Linked DNA regions of Drosophila melanogaster. The protein of the gene in region 1 purifies or fractionates together with the protein of each later gene. This does not show direct contact. Each region holds a gene or a part of one and is shown on either strand. Other genes may lie near its edges. The genes, in order: CG5966 and CG14431.

Region 1 (9,582 bases):
CTTTTAGTCATTTTTACATAATAACATAATACAACATATTCCTCAAAATCACTTATGAAAGAAAAAAATTAATTTTTTAATGAGTTAGTTGGCTTATAAGAATTTTTAATTCACTAACTCTGCTTTTCCAGCCTTGTTTTCCATTCACTCCAACTTGTGGCGTAATTATGTCGTCATTATCAGAAACACGTGGTGCAATTTACCAAGCTGACAAAAGGAGGCGACTCATCATTTGGCGTCCTCCTCCTGCGAAGCTGGTAAATGGATTTCATGGGAGAGTGGTGGAGTGGGATGTGGATAGTGATGGTGGAGGGCGTGTGGGGAAAACTCGGCGCACACGCCACGAATTATGAATATCAGAGAAATGCACAAGATGAATGGCACCGGGAAAATGCCAGCGGGATGGTAGTGGGAAATTAGTTTTCCACGCATCGCCAGCAAAGACAATGGAGCGCAGGAAAAGCGGGGAAAGCGGCGGGGAAATACGACGGCGGCACCTACACGTGATAATTTAGAGCAGATTGTCGCCTATAGGGTGCATACGTATATCACATAGATTTTCGACAGGGGGGGAAACACTTTAGAGCCATCGTATTTTTGGATGGACATTTGCATTCAATTACGGCAGCTGTGAGCCGGCCCTGATTTATATTTATGCACGCGTCTCTGACGTCCCATAAAGGAAACCCCAAAATGAGCCACAGCGGGAGGAAAGTCCGGATGATTTCCCCTTTTATTGCCCTCTAAAAAAGTGGGGAAAATAAAATTTGAAATATATATAAAAAGAGTTGGCGCTGCCTGCGCTCAATCATAATTATGTGATTTGTTTGCGACGCCGGCGCGGCCGACTAATTAAACGGCGAAATGACAGAGTGGGTGGGTGTGGATCTACATGGACCCATGGAAAGGGTGAAAAACTGGAAAATCCATAGGGTGGGCATGTTGACGTATTGTCGCCGATGTTGGCCCCGTTGAAATTATGACATTTTGATTTGGGCTCGAGGCCCATTTGATGTCCCTCAGCCGGCGCACTCGTCTGATTTATGCCACAAGTCGGGGGAAAAAGTGAGGAAAATCAAAACAACAACAACAAAATAAGGAGCTGCAGCAAAGGAGTTGGAAAATCTAAGAAGGAAGCCGAGGCCAAGGTGAACTAATTAAGAGGCGGATGGCTAATGGATTCCAGCTGCAGTTAGTAGTCAGCCCAAAAAATATCAAACAGCAAACAGAGAAAAGGGGAGGCACTTGGCCATTTGCTTGGCCGTAATTCCCATGATGACATTTTCGGGACATACGGTGGCCAAGATCGAAGGGTTATCCCAAATCGATTAACATTATTAATGAATGCATATCATGGGAATAAGTGGGCACACATCGTGGGGATGGGGGATACAGGTGGAGCGACGAAAGTCAAAACATGAAAAGGTTTTCAAACAATTTCAATTCCCAGAAACGAATGAAATGAACTCCGGCGAAACATTGTCAACATGATCATCAGCCGTCTCCCTCTGTCGTTCGCTCTGTCTCTGTCAACATATTTATGGGCCAGGTTCACTTTGAGGTTGAGACTGAAACCATAGTACACTGAGGATAGTTTCAGGAACTTATGCTTTATAGCTTGCTCTACAATTGGTTTAACGGCCATAACAATGAAATTATCGATCCAAATATTGAGTGTCATACCTCGCCGAACTCGTATTTTAATGCCCCATCGACTGGCATTTAAATCTGGGATTTTTTATTTTTTTGACATTTTTTGGAAATTTGCAAATTTTGATGATGGTACCCCTTACCAAAAATGCAAAAAATGTAAAAAAATTTTATTTTTCAAAAGTCTGCAGTTTGTGATTTGGGCCGAAAATTGAGGTTGCCCACTGTACAAAACAGTGTCTCTTTTCATTGTGAGACTTATTTTGGTCAAGTTGTAGGCAAAAAACAACAATTAAAACCCTTATTTTCTTATATATTTACATCCATATTTTTAGAAAATTATTAGCAGATTTTTAACCATAAAAACGCGAAGAATTATCCAAATTCGGAATGCCATACCTCGTTGAACTCGTAACTTAATTTCCAATCGATTGATATACCAAGCTTTATACTTCAAATTTTGACAATTTTTCGCAAATTTTGATGATGTTACCCCTTACCAAAAATGCAAAAAATTGAAAAAAATTAAAATTTTCAAAAACCTGCGAAATGTGATTTGGATCGAAAGCTCTGATTTTCCGCTGCACAAAACATGGTCTCTAATAATTGTGTGCCGAATTTGGACCAAGTAATAACTAAGAAACCGCTAAAAATGTAAATATTATGTATTTTTGGTGTGACAACACCTCACAACTTTTTTCTGTGTAACAACTGAGGCTTTCGGGCTGCCCGGAGAGCGTTGGAATGTCCAAATGTTCGATCATAAAACAAAGAGCCGGCCGCAGAAACAGAAACTTAAACTGAAACTCAAACGAAAACAAAACAGAAACGAAAACCAAAACCGAAATCGAGACAGCAGCGAACGAAGTTGAAAACGAGTCGAATCAATGCAGATAATATCAATTATATGTAAAAGATACACATGCATGCGATAGATACATTTGCCCCGATAAGCATTTAAAATATTAACATCAACACAGACTGGGTATCCATGTCATGGAATGTTCCCCGTCTCCACAGTTTCGTGTTTGTGTTTATAATTCATTAGAATCCACAGCTGATTTGAGTTATGGCAGGCAGATCCACAACTGGGGGCTTGTCGTGTTGTCTTTAACCTTTTTATCACAATTATCTAACTTCAGGTTACCTATAAGTCGCGCTTTCGGCGCAAGAAATGGGTCTTCATTTGAATAACCAAGATTTAAATCACATCGGATTTACTTCTGAAAATTAAGCTTTGCTTGTGCAATTATATATGTATACAATATAAACACAGAAACCTTTGTATATTTGCATGTTTATTTACATTAAATTAGACTACATCAGTGCACTACGACTACAAATACATTTAACTCAAAAAAAAAAATATATTGTATATGAAACATATTATTTTATAAAATAAATAACGGTTTGATGATTGTTTCGTATTTCGAACTATTAAAATACTATAATAAAATACAAACTGTTCCTTCTCAGCGAGTTGCTATAAAAGTCAAACTGGGAACACTTTTTCGATCTGTTCCCACAGCGCAGACACGCATCTGCATCTGTGCCACTTCTGGTTGTGCAAACAACTTAGCGGTGACGCAAACCTGCACTGCTTTCTTTGATTTTCTACGCAATCATATTGGGTGCTGAGAAAGTGTGAGCTGAGTTCTTAATTAATTAGCCAATTAATCATTAGACATGAGCAAAATTACAAATTAATTAGCTAATTAAGTAATGATATAGCTTACATACAGTTCCGAATTTAGTGGATAATTAATCAATTAATTGAAATGATAATATTATCATCAATTAGCCAATAAATTATCAAGTAAACAGGTTGATATTAATCCTTGCAATAGCTGGAGCGCAGGACATTTTCAGCGCCCGTGAGAATGGCTCCTTCGTGCTGAGGACATAACTTTAGGTATAGGTCGCTGGACTCCATCGCCTCGATGAGGATGTACTCCAAGTAGATACGCGGCGCGGATAGGATGCGCCATGTGAGTGGATTCAGTATATTGGTGGGGTACTCCCAATTAACAGTCGCGTACTCCGGCTCTCGGAGATTCCGTCCGGCCACCAAAGCTTTGTATTCATAGCCCGGCTCAAAGTACATTGCCTTCTGGGAGAACTTCATCATCTCCGTGGCGGCTCGCTCATTTTTGCCAGCCTTCTTCACCAGGGCATCGTGCAGCTGAATGGACAGGATGCCCACCTCGCCGCCATGTAGCGTACTCTCATCGTGTCCGGAAACTCGCACTGTTATCCTATAGTGCAGTCGGCAGAAGGGCTTGCTATCTCCAGTCCATAGGTAGAAGACCCCTGGTGAGTCGCCTTGCTGCAGCTGGCCAAGATCAACCTGCTCCTGGTAATCCTCCTGGCTGTGGTAGCCCATTCGCAGGCACGTGTGGCCCGGCTCCTCGCAACTGGTGCACTTCGTGTCCTTAAAGCTCTAAAAAGGAAGAAACAATATTACATATTTTAAGTTTGAATATTCAAAAAATCAATCAAAGAGCAATTGATTAGCAATAAAAATGCCTAGGATACCCACCTCGAAAGAATCACAGGTTATTCCAAGGAAAGGACACTGCGAGCCGATGCTTTCCGTAAAATACTGCTGACTGCGAATGTGATTGCAGCCGAGGAACTCCTGCATGGTGAGGAACAGCGTCTTCTTCTTGACCACATCCTGGAACTTCTTGTTGCAGCCGGGATTATCGAAACCACCGTTGGGAAAGAAGTCCACATGTCCCAGTCGCATATTGATGCCAAGCCCGCCTTTCATCAGGGGATTGGCATCCGTGTGCACAATGTCCACGAAGTGGGCATCCGTCTTGTCCAGCCGCACGATGGGATCGGTGTCCGTGAAGAGAGGAGCAGCCGGATCCAGACCCGTTATCCTGGCCGGTTTCAGTCCAAAGTCGTGCTGCAGGTGATAGCCGGCATAGCCGGACAGATGGGCACCCAGTGAGTGACCAATGATGTGCACATTGTCCAGATTCGGAAGACGCAACTCCTCGTACAGCATGTGCACCACATGGGCGGTGATGGCGCCCACTAGCCGGATATTGGCAACCGCCTGGACATACGGCGGACTAGCGCCACCGCCCCAATCGATGAGGACCACGGATGCCCGACCCTCGGGCTCGTGGGCCAGCAGCGCCTTGGCCATGTCCCACATCCAGGGAATTTCACCGGACTCCAGGTATCCATGGACAAGCAGGAATATCTTGCCCTTGGGATTCATTCCCATGCCTTGAACGCTTTCTGGATCATTGAGATCCAGATACTTGGGCTGATCCAATGCCCTTCGCGTGTGCAGTGTGAAATGGGGCTCGATCTCCGAAGGCTTCTGCGGATGCACATTTATCGAACGGGTCACCGTGTTCCAGGGTCCATTGATCGGAAAACAGCCATACACTCCGAAGCATTTTACCTCGTTGATGTCTGGCGAGGATTGGGGAAAATCAGTGGGTTTGTTGTGGTATGTTTGGTCTATAAATCAACAGGCGAACACCTGAACTGAGATAAGCGGGTTGGAATTTTAGCAACAAATAACCAACTATCACTAGTTTTATATATAGTTATAATTCAAAACCACTGAGGCTAAAATCTTGAAAATAATCTACTCGGGCAATTTGAATCCATGAAACTATAATAGGCATTATAAAACCATTAATCTGAACGTAACTGCCTTCTTTTAATATTCCTTTAAACTTTTGCAAAATCTCAATTAGAACTGTTGTGGTCTGGTAAAAAGCCTAACGATCCATGAAAAAACCTTAGACAATTTTCAAGATGTCAGATGCCTGTAATGTTCCATTAAGTATTTCATATGGGCCAGAAGACTTCAATTTATTTGGCCAGTGGTGCATGGATTGCCGTCTCTATTTTATCGTGGTCTTCTTTGGCTTTCCGTTTGTATCGGAAGTTTTCGATTAGATAGGCGTGTGCCGCGTCCCTCCAACAACTGAATACATATTATATATCTACATATATGTACGCACGATATGTACATATATGAAACCGCACCGGACGGAGTCGCGTCATTAGCCTTTTGGGACCCTGATTTCCAAATCAAATTGAAGCACGCCGAGTTGCCACCTGTGCCTCCATCACTCAGGTGATCGCAATCGCTGCGGGCTTCTTGAAAGAGCTTTCCCCATTTGCTAATGCGAGCAGCACTCAGCATCTTTGGATTTCGAAGCACTAAAGATCCGAAAACTGTTTGCTCAGCACACTCAGCAAAAGAAACCACTTAAGGTTGCCCCTAACTGGGCCCAAATGACACAGCTGCGGCCAAGATAATAGCTCCAATTACTCTACTCTCTTACTCTATAAAGTGGGGATATCTTGTATTTATTCTAATCTTTAACTTATTATTGAATAATAGTTCTACATATTTGTAAAAATTTCATTTCATTGAAACACTAGAAATCCCTTAGCTACTCCTATTTCGACCGCCACTGTGGCTCAAGTGGCAGATACTTTTGGGCCACTTTCGATGGACATGTTCTAGTTACGATGGGTGGTGCAATCGGTGGTAGCCAAAAGTGGGCTCGTGGCTCGAATTACTTACCACTTTTGGGAGCTGGTGGTAGGTCCACCAGGGTGTTGACTGCCGCCCGACTGGTGTGGTTGGCCAAATACAACATGGTCTGCAGCATTAGGCCGCCCGTCGTGTTGGCCACATACATCCTGCAGCTGTATCTGATTCCGATTCCGATTCCGATGCCAAATGTGATCCCTTAGATCCTGGGGATCTTGGAAATTCCCAACTTGAATCACACACTTTTTCCCAGGGCTTTAGTCAGTTCTTAACTGAACCACAATCACAAATCACTTGAACGAGTGCCACTCGAGTTGGCTATTATCTAAGGCTAGGACTGTATAGTCGAGTTACGATGGGATCGATCGATTGATCGATCGGCCTTTTGTTTGGTGCCTGGCTTTTCTTTTCTATAGTTTTAATTAAGTTGACGTTAATCTTATCGACTGTCTTTCGTCTCGAGTGTGCCGTTAGCTTGTTAGGTTAGTTGGCGGCCCTCGGTTTCTTTCGATTTTGACTATCGCCAATGACTGGGCTATATGTCGTGTATATCTCCGCCGATCTGAGTCGCTTGGAAACCGTCGCACCACTGAGCGGATCAGCTGCGCCCCACGCAATTTTTATAAAGACGTAGACGTCGCGAGAAATCGAAACCGTAACCGAAATCAGAAAGCTGCATCCGAAGCTGCAGCCGAAGCCGCCGATCGAAGATAGTGCTGACCGATCCGCCGATTTCCCGACATATACATATGCGTACAATACGTCTACCACTTCAAAGGTCAAGTGTAATAAACAGTTGGTGGAAGCCGAATATCTCGTGGAAATTACCATGAAGGCTATTCAGAAAAAAAACATACTTTAAATCTATAACCCGTTCAAGTATCACTATATATACCATTAAATGTTGATAACTACGCTCCTTTTACAGATATTATTTCTATGGAAGTTATGTCGTATTTTCGCTAGACAGCCAACACTGACCAATGAGCTTCGGCACGCGACTTACAGCAGAGAGTGTGAAAGAGAGAGAGGAAAGCAAGAGGCCCTGAGCAGCTGATAGTGCACAAGTCGAGCGTTTCGCTCAGTGTAGATGCAAAGTACACCAGCTGCTCTTTGTTGGATGCACCTTCTTGATAAGGAAGCCGATCCGCTCTGCCGACGACAACAAAGTGACCGCCATGAATGCGTTGAGCAATCTCTTACAGGAAGAGGGCGGCACAAGGGAGGATCTTATGATGGGTCAGAAATAGAGGATGGGGAACAGCCCCCTTGGGCAATCAGCAGCTGTTCTCGACAACCCATTCGGCACGGCGAGAAAAAATATACTTATTTGTATAAACTACCCATAACGATCCTAACGATTTGAACCATGTTTTTAAGGATATTCCATTATTATTGGCAATATATATCTTTAAATTTTAAAAGATTGTTATTTTAGCTTACTTTAAAAGTAGTTATATATCTAAAGATCAATATATTTGTAGAATATCTTTAAGCATGACGAACCTAGTTTTTTGCTAGCTTATTAATAGAAGAAAATTGTTTTGTGTGTAACATGCCAAGTGAATTTCTATGAAAACTGTGTCAATCGACGGGCCCCTGCCACGCCCTTGTCCCTCAGCCCACCGCCACTGACAGGTGGTGGTGTCAATGTCTGGTTAGCACTAAATATATTTGCATATGTATATTATGTTCCCCATTGGCACACGTTATCAGCGGCCAGTAATTTTCGCAGAATCCCGCCGTTTCGCTTTCGAGGCGTCCAAAGTCCGGAGAAGGTGTTTACGAGTCGGGTTTTCGATCGCTTGACACTCCACCAGGATCTCGAATATTGCCCATTGACGTCAAAGAGGCGGCCTTTCAAAAGCGTTATCACGACCTAAAGTCTGTCTGCTTTATTCTTGTTTTTGTTTACGACTTTTCTCGAAAACACAACAGAATACCCTGGAAAAATGCGAAGCTTTTAATACGATCTATACTTAGATATGTCTCTGACTCAGAGGGTATTACTTCCGTAAAGATTCAGCAGCTATTGCCCCGATTTCCGATAAGCATCGAACTTTGATTTCGAAAATTGATTCCGGTTCAAAAATCCACATGCATTGCAAATCAACACTGGTGTCTATTTGTTTTGATATTTTCCCATCGACGGGTCCAACGTCACAGCCACGCCCACTTGTTCCTAGCAAGTGTAAAAACATTTTGTTTACAACAATTATTACATGTGGCGTATAGATTACACCGAAAGGCTAATTGAAAACGGAACACACAGTGCAGAATATGAAGAATATTGAATAACAATCGCTGCAATCGCTCTCAATGGCATAAGCCCCCAAGGGGATTATAGTTTACATAGATCAGTGCCAGATCGGCGGGGGACTATAGCTTTACAGGGTACAAAGTATAAAGTACGCGCAGAATGTTAAACGTTCAAGAGGCATGGAAATTACAAAAAGAGTTTAGATTTATGGAAAATGAAGCTTTATGCTTTAAAATATAATTTTATAGTAAATTTTATAGTAAATTATATTTTCCATTGAAAAATATCATAGCATATTGTTTCCCTAAGCCAAGTGCTAATCAAAATTTTGGGCATACCTTCAAGAATGTAGGTCATACAAGTATAAACATAGACAAGAGGCTGGAAATTTTCTAATCTTTGAAGGCAATGGAATTACTCATAGTTTTGATTGTTTAGTTTGGAACAAACTTTCGGTACGATTGTTTATTTGCTAGAAAACAAATTTTAGCATAGAATTAACGTAGAATTATGGCAGATCTATCTTAAAGAGGACATTATTTGGTTATGCCAGACTGTTTTGCTCCAATTGTCCTTGACGGTAAGGGTTTTTCTGTTTGTTTGTGTGCAGGTTTCGCTCGGTAAAGAATACAGGGATATATGTAGTATATAATATTATGGGCTAGCAATGGCACTTAGGATTAGCTTAGCATACAACTAGTTTAACATAAGGATCTCGGGCAAAAGCATCACTCAGAGCGCTGCATGATCATCTCGATTTTATCGCCAGCGGCGGCGATCAGCGGAACGGTAAGACAGCAATCGAAGTCCTGCGTCTTCATTTCATTTACCTGAGGGTAAATACAATATACATGTATAAAATGATAAAAAAAAAACCAAGCATAACTTCAGACCAACCTGCATGATCCGATCGAAGGGCTTCAGTAGGCCGCACATATCGGCAGGACCTCCGCTGCGAATCCTGTTGATGAAGACGCCACGCTCGTACAGTCCATCGGATACCGAGAATCCATAGTCATCGTACACCTTGTCCTTGTACAGGGTGACATGAAACACCCGGGGCTTTCCACTGCCCGAATTCCCATTGACTGCTCCGCCACCGTTGGCATTCCCGCTACCCGACTCCTTGCTGGCC
Region 2 (8,504 bases), 920 kb from region 1:
CGGTCTGCTATTTTTATGGTGTCAAAACGTTGCGTATACGCAGCGTGGCATAATTTATGCATGAATGCGACTGCAGTCGGTACGGTTGGGGAAATATGTGAGTTATGGCAGATGCTGGCCAAAAACGAGGCCAAAAGCAAAGGCCCATAACCATTCAAAATGTTTGACAGCCAAGGCGATGGGAATTCCCAAAACTAATCAGCAGGAAAAACGTGGCCAGCTCGCATTCAGCCACGAAATAAGCGGGTTACATTACTTTTTTCAGCTCGAAAGGAATCATAGATTGTTAGAGGAATGTGGCACACTTGGGTTCGTCGCTCGTCAGCTGTGGGGCATCAAATAATAACACGCATTTCCAATGGATCCGTGCTGTTGTAAACTTGTCCCATAAACAGGGGGCCAGAATGGAGCCGGAAAGTGCACAAAAAACCATTAATCAAATGAGACCCTCTTCTTGTGTGTGTGTGTGTGTGAGAGGCAGGAAACGGAAGTGTTACACTAAGCCATTTTGTCTGTACGGTTGTCAAGCGAACGAAAGTTCCTGACGAAGCACTGGATACCCTTAACCTCCTGGGAAGCAGCAGAGAATTATGGGAATTTCGAACAGGAGAGTGGGAAAAATGGAATTTGAAAAGGAGGAAAGGAAATGTGGATACAGGGAAAACGTGATGAGTAATGAAGAGCAGACGGAAAAGGAACCCGAACGGAGCTGGTCAAATATTTGCCTAACTTTCACGTAATTTGTATAGTTTAATTACAAGAATGTTAACTACTTTTCTATATTCATATTAATAAGCAACGCAGTGTTTTAAGTGCAATTATGTGAATACCTTCTCTTGTGGCCCCAAGTTATAATTCACACTTGTGTGCTGGCTTTAACTTTTATCTCGACACCACCAAATTCCCTCAACCCATCGAAATCGGCCATCTCGTTATGGCCATAGGCCAAATCCGAAGCCGAATGCAAAAACTAAAGCCAAAACTTTTTGTTTGGCTATTTGTTGCTGTTGTAGTCGACTGGCCATCATGGCACGCACGCACTAATAGATGCAAATACATACATTAGAACATCGACAAGCACACAAGTGCACTGAGAGAAATCGGTGTAGATACGGGTAAAGCAAAAGATACCTTACAAGCACTCATGCTCATTTACAAACGTAATATGTTTCATTGTTACATTCTTTATCTTTACATACTCTTGCAAACATAATGTTGTAGCTTGTAGCTTTTTTTTTTCAGTGCACACTCAAACTCTCACAGAGTTGCCGTGTCGCAAGTGAATGGGGAACATGTGTTTGCGCATTTAGTTTCCTTCTCCGCTGGCTCAACGCAACTTGATGAAGTGCAAAAAAAAAATAATAAGGAAAAACACAGGTGAGACAGGTAAAAAAAAAGGGGGGATTATGGGGCCAAAAGTTGAAGCTGACAGCTTTCAAGTGAGCCAGCCACAAAATATTTGGACGACTTAAAGAGCTGAGCTCGATTTAAGTAATCCCAATAAATATGTCGCCAATTTTGGTGAAAGCCCAAGGGGAACGCAAGATTGAGTTGCCTTGCTAAATAGTCGGATTTTCTGCTTGAAAACGATCCATTTTCACTACGATTTAATTAACTAGTTTTCTTTTCGCACAACTTTTCCCCCCAACTAACCGATGAAATAATCTCAAATCAAATGAAGATCTTTAATTTAAGTCCGCAACGAAATTTTAATCAACGTGTAATCTATTGAAATCGCAACTTTTTAATCATATTTACGAACATGAAAGGGGATAAAAGCTCTATCATTTTTGTGCTCTTGTTCATGTTTAGGCAATTTATGGATTTATGCAGAGTATGTTTTTCGCGTTTTTTTTTCCATTTTCTGCTTGTGTATTTTTAGTTCGTGATAATTAAAAGGCAATTTTAATGCTCCGCTGCATTTGCTGGCTGGAAAATGAGTGAGACTTTCGATTTTCGGATTGCAATTTTCCAACAATTTCGCCGTCGACTTTGGCAACAAAAAGGTAATTCAATTAAACCAAAACCTAATATTGTCGATCGATTATTGCAATATTCATTACGAAATGCGCTTCATCAAATATGCATAAATTAGGCCATCCGAATGGCGTTTATAAATGCAGATATATCTGCCAGTTTATGTCAAGTGTCAGAAATGTCGGAATGTTTGACAATTTTGCTTGTCCTCTGTGCGATTTGTTATTTGTTTATTGTTCAATTGAAAATTTTTCAACTGCGAAATATTGCATAATCTCCAGCTATACTTCCTTCAATCCGTTTACGTTTTAATTACAAAATTAATATCAATTATGCCACCTGGCCTCGATGCAAATCTGTAAATCTATTTTGCATAAATGGCCAACTATGTGGCCAAGTTTTCGTTGAAATGGTAGTGCATTTGTGCTCAACAGTTTATCCTTTAAAAGGAATGGTTTGATTTTTGCCAGCAAATTAAGTCATTAATTGGATAAACCATTTGCAGTTATTATAATCTAGTTTCTTGGCATTGCGAATTTGAAACTGGCCAACAGTGTTAATAAAATAGGACTAATTATACGGAATGATATCAAATCTGATAGATGATGGAATATATTTATTGGCAATTGTTAATTTAAATTGCAAACGAGTAGATCAAGTGTTTGTATTGGTCAATCAAATTTCAAGTACCAATAAACAACTAAAAAAGATATTAAATTGTAATTTGAATTGCTTCGCCCAACCCAACGACTTTTCACTTCTTTTTTGCGACTTTTAAGTGATTTTCAAATTTTATCCCTCTTTTTTTTTTTTGACTCGAAATTGACATTTCATTTAATTTGGCAACGACAAAATTTTATTGTCATTTCATTTGATTAAAAATTTCATAATGTGAGCCAGAGTAGCTTTTTTTATTCATTTTTTCCTTGCTGCTGCTGTGGGATATTTTGTCAACACACAATAAAAAAAAAATAATAATAATAAAACAGCAGTCGCGGCTGGGAAAAGTGAAAATCTAAAATTTTTGGCCCGCAGGCGACGAAGCTTTGAGTGCGTTGGTGTGTGTGCGTTTTGGTGTCCTCCGGAAAAGCAGGCAAAAAACGATGAAAATTAATAAAAAATAAAGCAAAAAAAAAGTGAGATAACAAAAAAATGAAATTGTGCCGCAGTATTTGCGTTTGGCGGCATTTTTCCGCTGTTGTCCGTCTCTTTGGCGCGTTTTCACATTTTTCCCCCTCCTCCCCCCCCTTCCAGCCATCACATTTTCCATCGCTTTTCCACCCACCACCTGCAAGTTGTTTTTGTTGTTGGTGGTGGTGCTGCTGCACATGGCGCTCTGCTGATGGCTTCATTCAGTTGCCCAATTCTTTTTTGTTTATCTTTTCAGTCTGTTTCAGCATTTTCACTCGCTTGGTTTGATTTTTGTTTTTACATTTAGATGGAGTTTTAATTAAGAATTTCCATATTAATTCGATTTGGTACAAACAAATAAGGCTATCAGTGAATTTCCAATAATTAGTTTAGAGCAGAGCAAAGTTGGCTACTTATATTCAATGTTTATTTTGCTATCGCACTTTCAACAACCTTTGAACTGCAAGCTGCACATTTCGTTTGACAAGCTCGTGCGATTTTCCATGTAAATAGCCTGCGGGCCATTCTTTTTTTTTGAGTTTTACCAGATTTTTGGCCGCTTCAACAGCTTGTTGACGAGATTCCCCCAAAAGCAGCCATCAGGTTTGCCATCGGCATATCGCTCCGTTTGCCAGATTCCTCGGGCAAGCATTTTTCGCATATTTCGCCCATATTTTCATGTTCGCATTCAAACGAAATCCTTTTGATATTGGCCTAGCCAGCAGCACCACCTTCTTCCTTCTTCCCTACATTTTTTTTATTTTTTATTTTTTTTTTTCACTCTCCCCTCGTCAACGTAATCGTCCTGTGAGCGCCATGGCTACCACCGGGTCCTTCGGAAAGCTTAACGATTTCATTAACAAGGACACACAATGGCAGCTGATTGTTGTCGTGCTGCTGCTGCTGTCACAAATTTCACTGGCAATTAGCAGAAAACCGAAAAACGCACAAAAAAGCAAAAAAAAGCAAAAAAAAAACAGCAACAGCAAAAATTACTAAACAAAAATGAAACGCTTAACCGGTTTAATTAGGGGCGCCCAAACTGGAGATGAAGAAAAGCGAAGGCCGAGCATCCACAGCAAATTGTTTTCATTTTTCCCCTCACAACAGCAACAGCAATAACCAAACAGCAAGCTGGCAAATTGGCAAACTCGTCACGCCGGCACAAGAAAATCAAACAAAACACCAACAGAAACTTTCGCTAAAAATAAATACAACGAAACATACAAAAAAAAATGGTAAGAAAAAAATTAAAAATAAAATAGTAAGGCAACACGAACCAGTCACACACGCCGTCCAGTTGAACAAATGTTGCAAGTTTCCATCGGTTGCAATAAATATCGCAGCTCGTTATTGAAAGACCAACAATAACGAAACACTTTGCTTGCCACAAAATGTTCCGTTTAGGTTGCTTATGATTTTTCATAGAATTAATACTGAAGAAATATTGCGATTCTCGCTGCTTACTATAATTCTGCAAAAGTGGCGGATTTCCATCGGTTGCAACATATGAAGCAGGTTGTTATTGAAAGCACATCTTTCAAAAGAAATATTAGCAAATCTATGACAGCTTGTTTGCTGACAAATCAGTAGATCAGTAAATATGTTAGAAAAGTACAAAAAAGGATAAAGTAATAATAACACATTTAAACCATGTGCATAAAAAGTTGTGGGCTTAAAAATACGTAGTATTCTATTGACATATTAAGAAACATACCGAACGTATTCTATGCAGTTGCAATTTGCTTCGCTTGCAATTATTGTTGAAACTGGTAACTAGCTCTTTTTTGGGAAGTCCATCTAATGCTGCAGCTTTGAAAACGAATTTCTGTTTTCAATTTCAAAAGAAGTCCAGCAAATGCTGCACGTTGGCTTGGCTGTTCTTTTGGACGCTGACTTAATGCTCATGCACCACACAACACAGCAACAAAAAACAAATAAACAAATGGTCGGGCACGTGACAATGCAACACAAACGAAAACCAAAACAAAACACTCAACAGTCGCCCGGTCCTTCGAATCGATTTGAGAAAAACGCGCGCGGAAAACTCAAAGTTCGAGACTCAAACTCAAAACCGCTTGTGGCCCAAAGTCAAAGTCAAAAAAACACGCAATTTATGTTGCTAGTTGCTGCTGGCTGTGGCACGTTGCTGGCTATTGCAAGTTGCAAGTTGCTATTGCTGTTTGCCGCCCGAGAGACACGAGACACACACGGTGAGCGCTCGCTTGCAACTGAAGTTGCCGTCTGATAATGCCGCCTGTGTTTCCCGACTTGCCGAGCGCCATTTCCCGAAGCCGAGCTCCATTTGCCGAAGCGCCGAACTGCGGCACGAGGCGGCACGCACAGTCGTCTTGCCACTTTTCCTCGCTTTTCGTCGTCTTCATCGACAGCGGCGATGCAGCAGCGTCTGCATTTTCCCCTTTTGGGCGTGTGGTGAAAACTTGCGCCAAAATATGACCAAGCCGGTGCCGCCATTCACTCCTCACCATTGCCCACTTTTTCCAAAAAACCAAGCCACCCAACGTCAAACAGCCTTGAAGGCAAAGTGATGTTTTCGAAGCGGCTCAAATGATTGCCGCCATTTCCCCGTTTCGCGCATCTTTTTGGCCGAAAAGTTTGAGGGCATTGCAAATGAACTACAGACATACATATATGCAAAATATTGCCATAGTCCGGAGAATAAACTCTTGAAATAATGTACTTACTATATATGGATATGTTCATCGGTGAAAGCAGCTTGTGATTGTAAAATGAAAAACAATGCAGACATGACGACACTTCGCTGAAAGTCAAAAACCAAAGTGTTGTAACTTTTTTTAACATTGCCGCGAGGAGCTGGCAACCTGTCCGATAGACGCTGACAGGGCTGCCAACCTGGTCTTGCCCGCAAAGTGCTGACAGCCAGCCAACAAGAGGGCAAGTTATTATCGGTAAGTAAGCTGGGTTCCGCTGGCAATTTCGACAACTTGTCCTCATCCATTCACGGTCAGCTTAGGACGCGCACCTTTTTCGGGATTTCGGTGTTTTGCTCTCCGTTTGCTGTGTCTGTTTTGGGTTCAGGCGGAGATTGTGACCGAGACTATGGAGACTGGGGGGAGACCCGAGATGCCACAAATCCAGACGCCCCCGAGAACTCTAAGCCAATTCAAGGACACGCGGACAGAGGACACGCGGCCAAAAAGCCAAAAACAGCCATACAACCAAACCAGATGAGGCCAGACACCCACTAAACACACACACACAAGGAAAACGTGAATCCAGTGACTGGTGGAAAGGAGTCACAAATCCGGGGGACAGATAAGAGTCTCCGACGGCATTTGGTAGCCGGATTTTTAGGGGTCACTTTGGTACCATGTTGGGTGCACTTTTATCCGTCCTGCCGCTGGATCCTCTTTATTTTCCTCGGCTTCCTTGTCGCTCTCAATTTCGTGCACTTGTTCCGCCCGTCTTCATTGCCAGCCAGCTCTTCGATGGGAAACGCCGTGCTTTTCACCTCCTTTTACCCAGACCCAAATCTTTGACAAATGTAAACAGTCGTCGTCGTATAGCCGGTGGGTTAGGCAGTGCACTGAAAAAAAAGTAAGATATCAAGTAAGATATCACTTAAAGAACTGTGAAAATGCTTTTGTTTAATATTAGATAAATATTTAATTATAATATATATTTACAATTTTGTTGTTAGTTCCGTTTCAAAGTTTTACGCGCAAGCAACTATTGCATTTGCATACCCAATTTCGCTCAGTGCTTTTTCGCAGGCAATGCGGGCTGTGCTTTTCCCTGCTGTTTTCCCTTTGGCTCACACTCGCTTTTCCTTGATTGTGTTCGGTCGGTGTTTTATTTTCCCCCGGTTGCAACTTTAGATTAGAGTTAATCAGCTTAGCGTGTCAGTTTGACTATTAGGTGCTATGTTTTCGTTCGTCAAAGGATTTGATGCAGGATGGGTCAACTGGCAGGTGGTGGTGTTAATTATGATTTGCGCCAACCAACGCCAGCAAACAAACAGCAGGATGCCAGCTTTCGGAATTTCGCGCACACATATCCACAATTAATATACGTTTATGCCACCAAGCTAATTATTACTATTACTATTTAGGTGAAATGGAAAACATAAACATATACAGACATGGAAGGTCGAAATGAAAATTCATAGTGGTAATATGATTGATTTCCCAAATGAATGACTATCAATTTGAAGCCAGTTTTTTTTTTTTTCGAACTGAAGTTGATTTCTACTAGAAAGTGAGCCTACGCCTCCGATGCTCCACTAACCATTTTCACCAGAAAAACTTGGCTTTCCACGACGAACAGGATTTTCGAGTTGGTCGCCGGGAAAGCAAGCGAACAACAGCTGTTGCAAGTGCAAGTGCAAGTCGCTCATGTCGCTCATGTTGCTCATGTTGCTCATGTTGCATTGATTGCCATTTCGGCATTAGTTTCAATTCATTTCGCTTTGAGTGTGATGGATGGCATCGGCGACAGCAAACGAACGTGGTCCAAAGTCGGGCCATCAATTGTACATTCCGCCGGCTTTTAATGCCAAAACAATTGTTGCTCAAAATATATAAATGTTGTATATCATTGCGACCAGACAATGCAGGAGAAAAACCCGATCAAAAAAAAAAAATCAAATCGAATCGTATCGAAGCGAATTGAATCGAGGCAAAATTGAATTGCAGTCAAGACGACGTAGAGTCGTCGAGTGGAAAGAAGGCCAGAAAATGCGAGCAACTTGAGCAAAATGCTGGAAATGGCCAAGCAATCAGATGGCCATTGTACATTTGTTGTTGTTGGCGGTGGTGGTGCGTCATGGGGGGTTCAATTGTGAAGTTGGGGGTTTTTTTTATTTTTTTTTTTTTGGAAAATCGAGCAGCCTCTCTGTTTCCCCTTGACAAATGTGCCGTTCAAATGCTGTGGACGCCATTTAATTGCCAACATTAATTGGCACACTACGTAGTGGCCACACTCCTTCGATTTGGAACTTCTATAGCTCCTCAGACCGTAGACTCCCCCACTTGTGCCAGCTTTTCCCTAGCTTTTCCCCAGCTTTCCCAACTTTTCCCCGGCGCACCAGCCAAAGCAAAGTGGTCGAACAGATTTTGATGCTTTTATAAATGGCACGTCAAATTGTTGTTCAATGATTTCCAATTGACTTATTGCCGCAGAATTCAATTGAGTCGTCAGTCTCTGGTTTTCCTGCTCTTCACATTTTTTGTTTTTCTTCTTATTTTATTTTTTTTTTTTTTTTGTTTTGTGTTGCTCCGAACTGCATTTTGGGTTCATTTCGAATATTTAAGCCACACAAGTCAGCATTTTATATGGCCACTGATTGGACGAGTCATCGTGACCAAGTGAAAGTCTAAAAGATCACTTGAGCGCCAGGAAGTGGGAAAACAAAT

What was found.
Region 2: the proteins of CG5966 (region 1) and CG14431 purify together in Drosophila melanogaster (affinity purification with mass spectrometry, with the first as the bait; one large-scale study listed by BioGRID). This does not show direct contact.

What each region holds. Positions count from the first base shown.
Region 1 is NC_004354.4:5,985,993-5,995,574, reverse strand, and holds CG5966 (uncharacterized protein), read right to left. Parts: upstream 6,785-9,582; 5' UTR 6,336-6,784; coding exon 6,218-6,335; exon of another isoform or gene 5,086-6,217; coding exon 4,190-5,085; intron 4,091-4,189; coding exon 3,482-4,090; 3' UTR 2,935-3,481; downstream 1-2,934. Other genes in the region: Grip (glutamate receptor interacting protein), read right to left, coding at 9,176-9,277, 9,345-9,582.
Region 2 is NC_004354.4:6,905,143-6,913,646, reverse strand, and holds the start of CG14431 (uncharacterized protein), read right to left. Parts: upstream 5,371-8,504; 5' UTR 4,826-5,370; intron 1-4,825.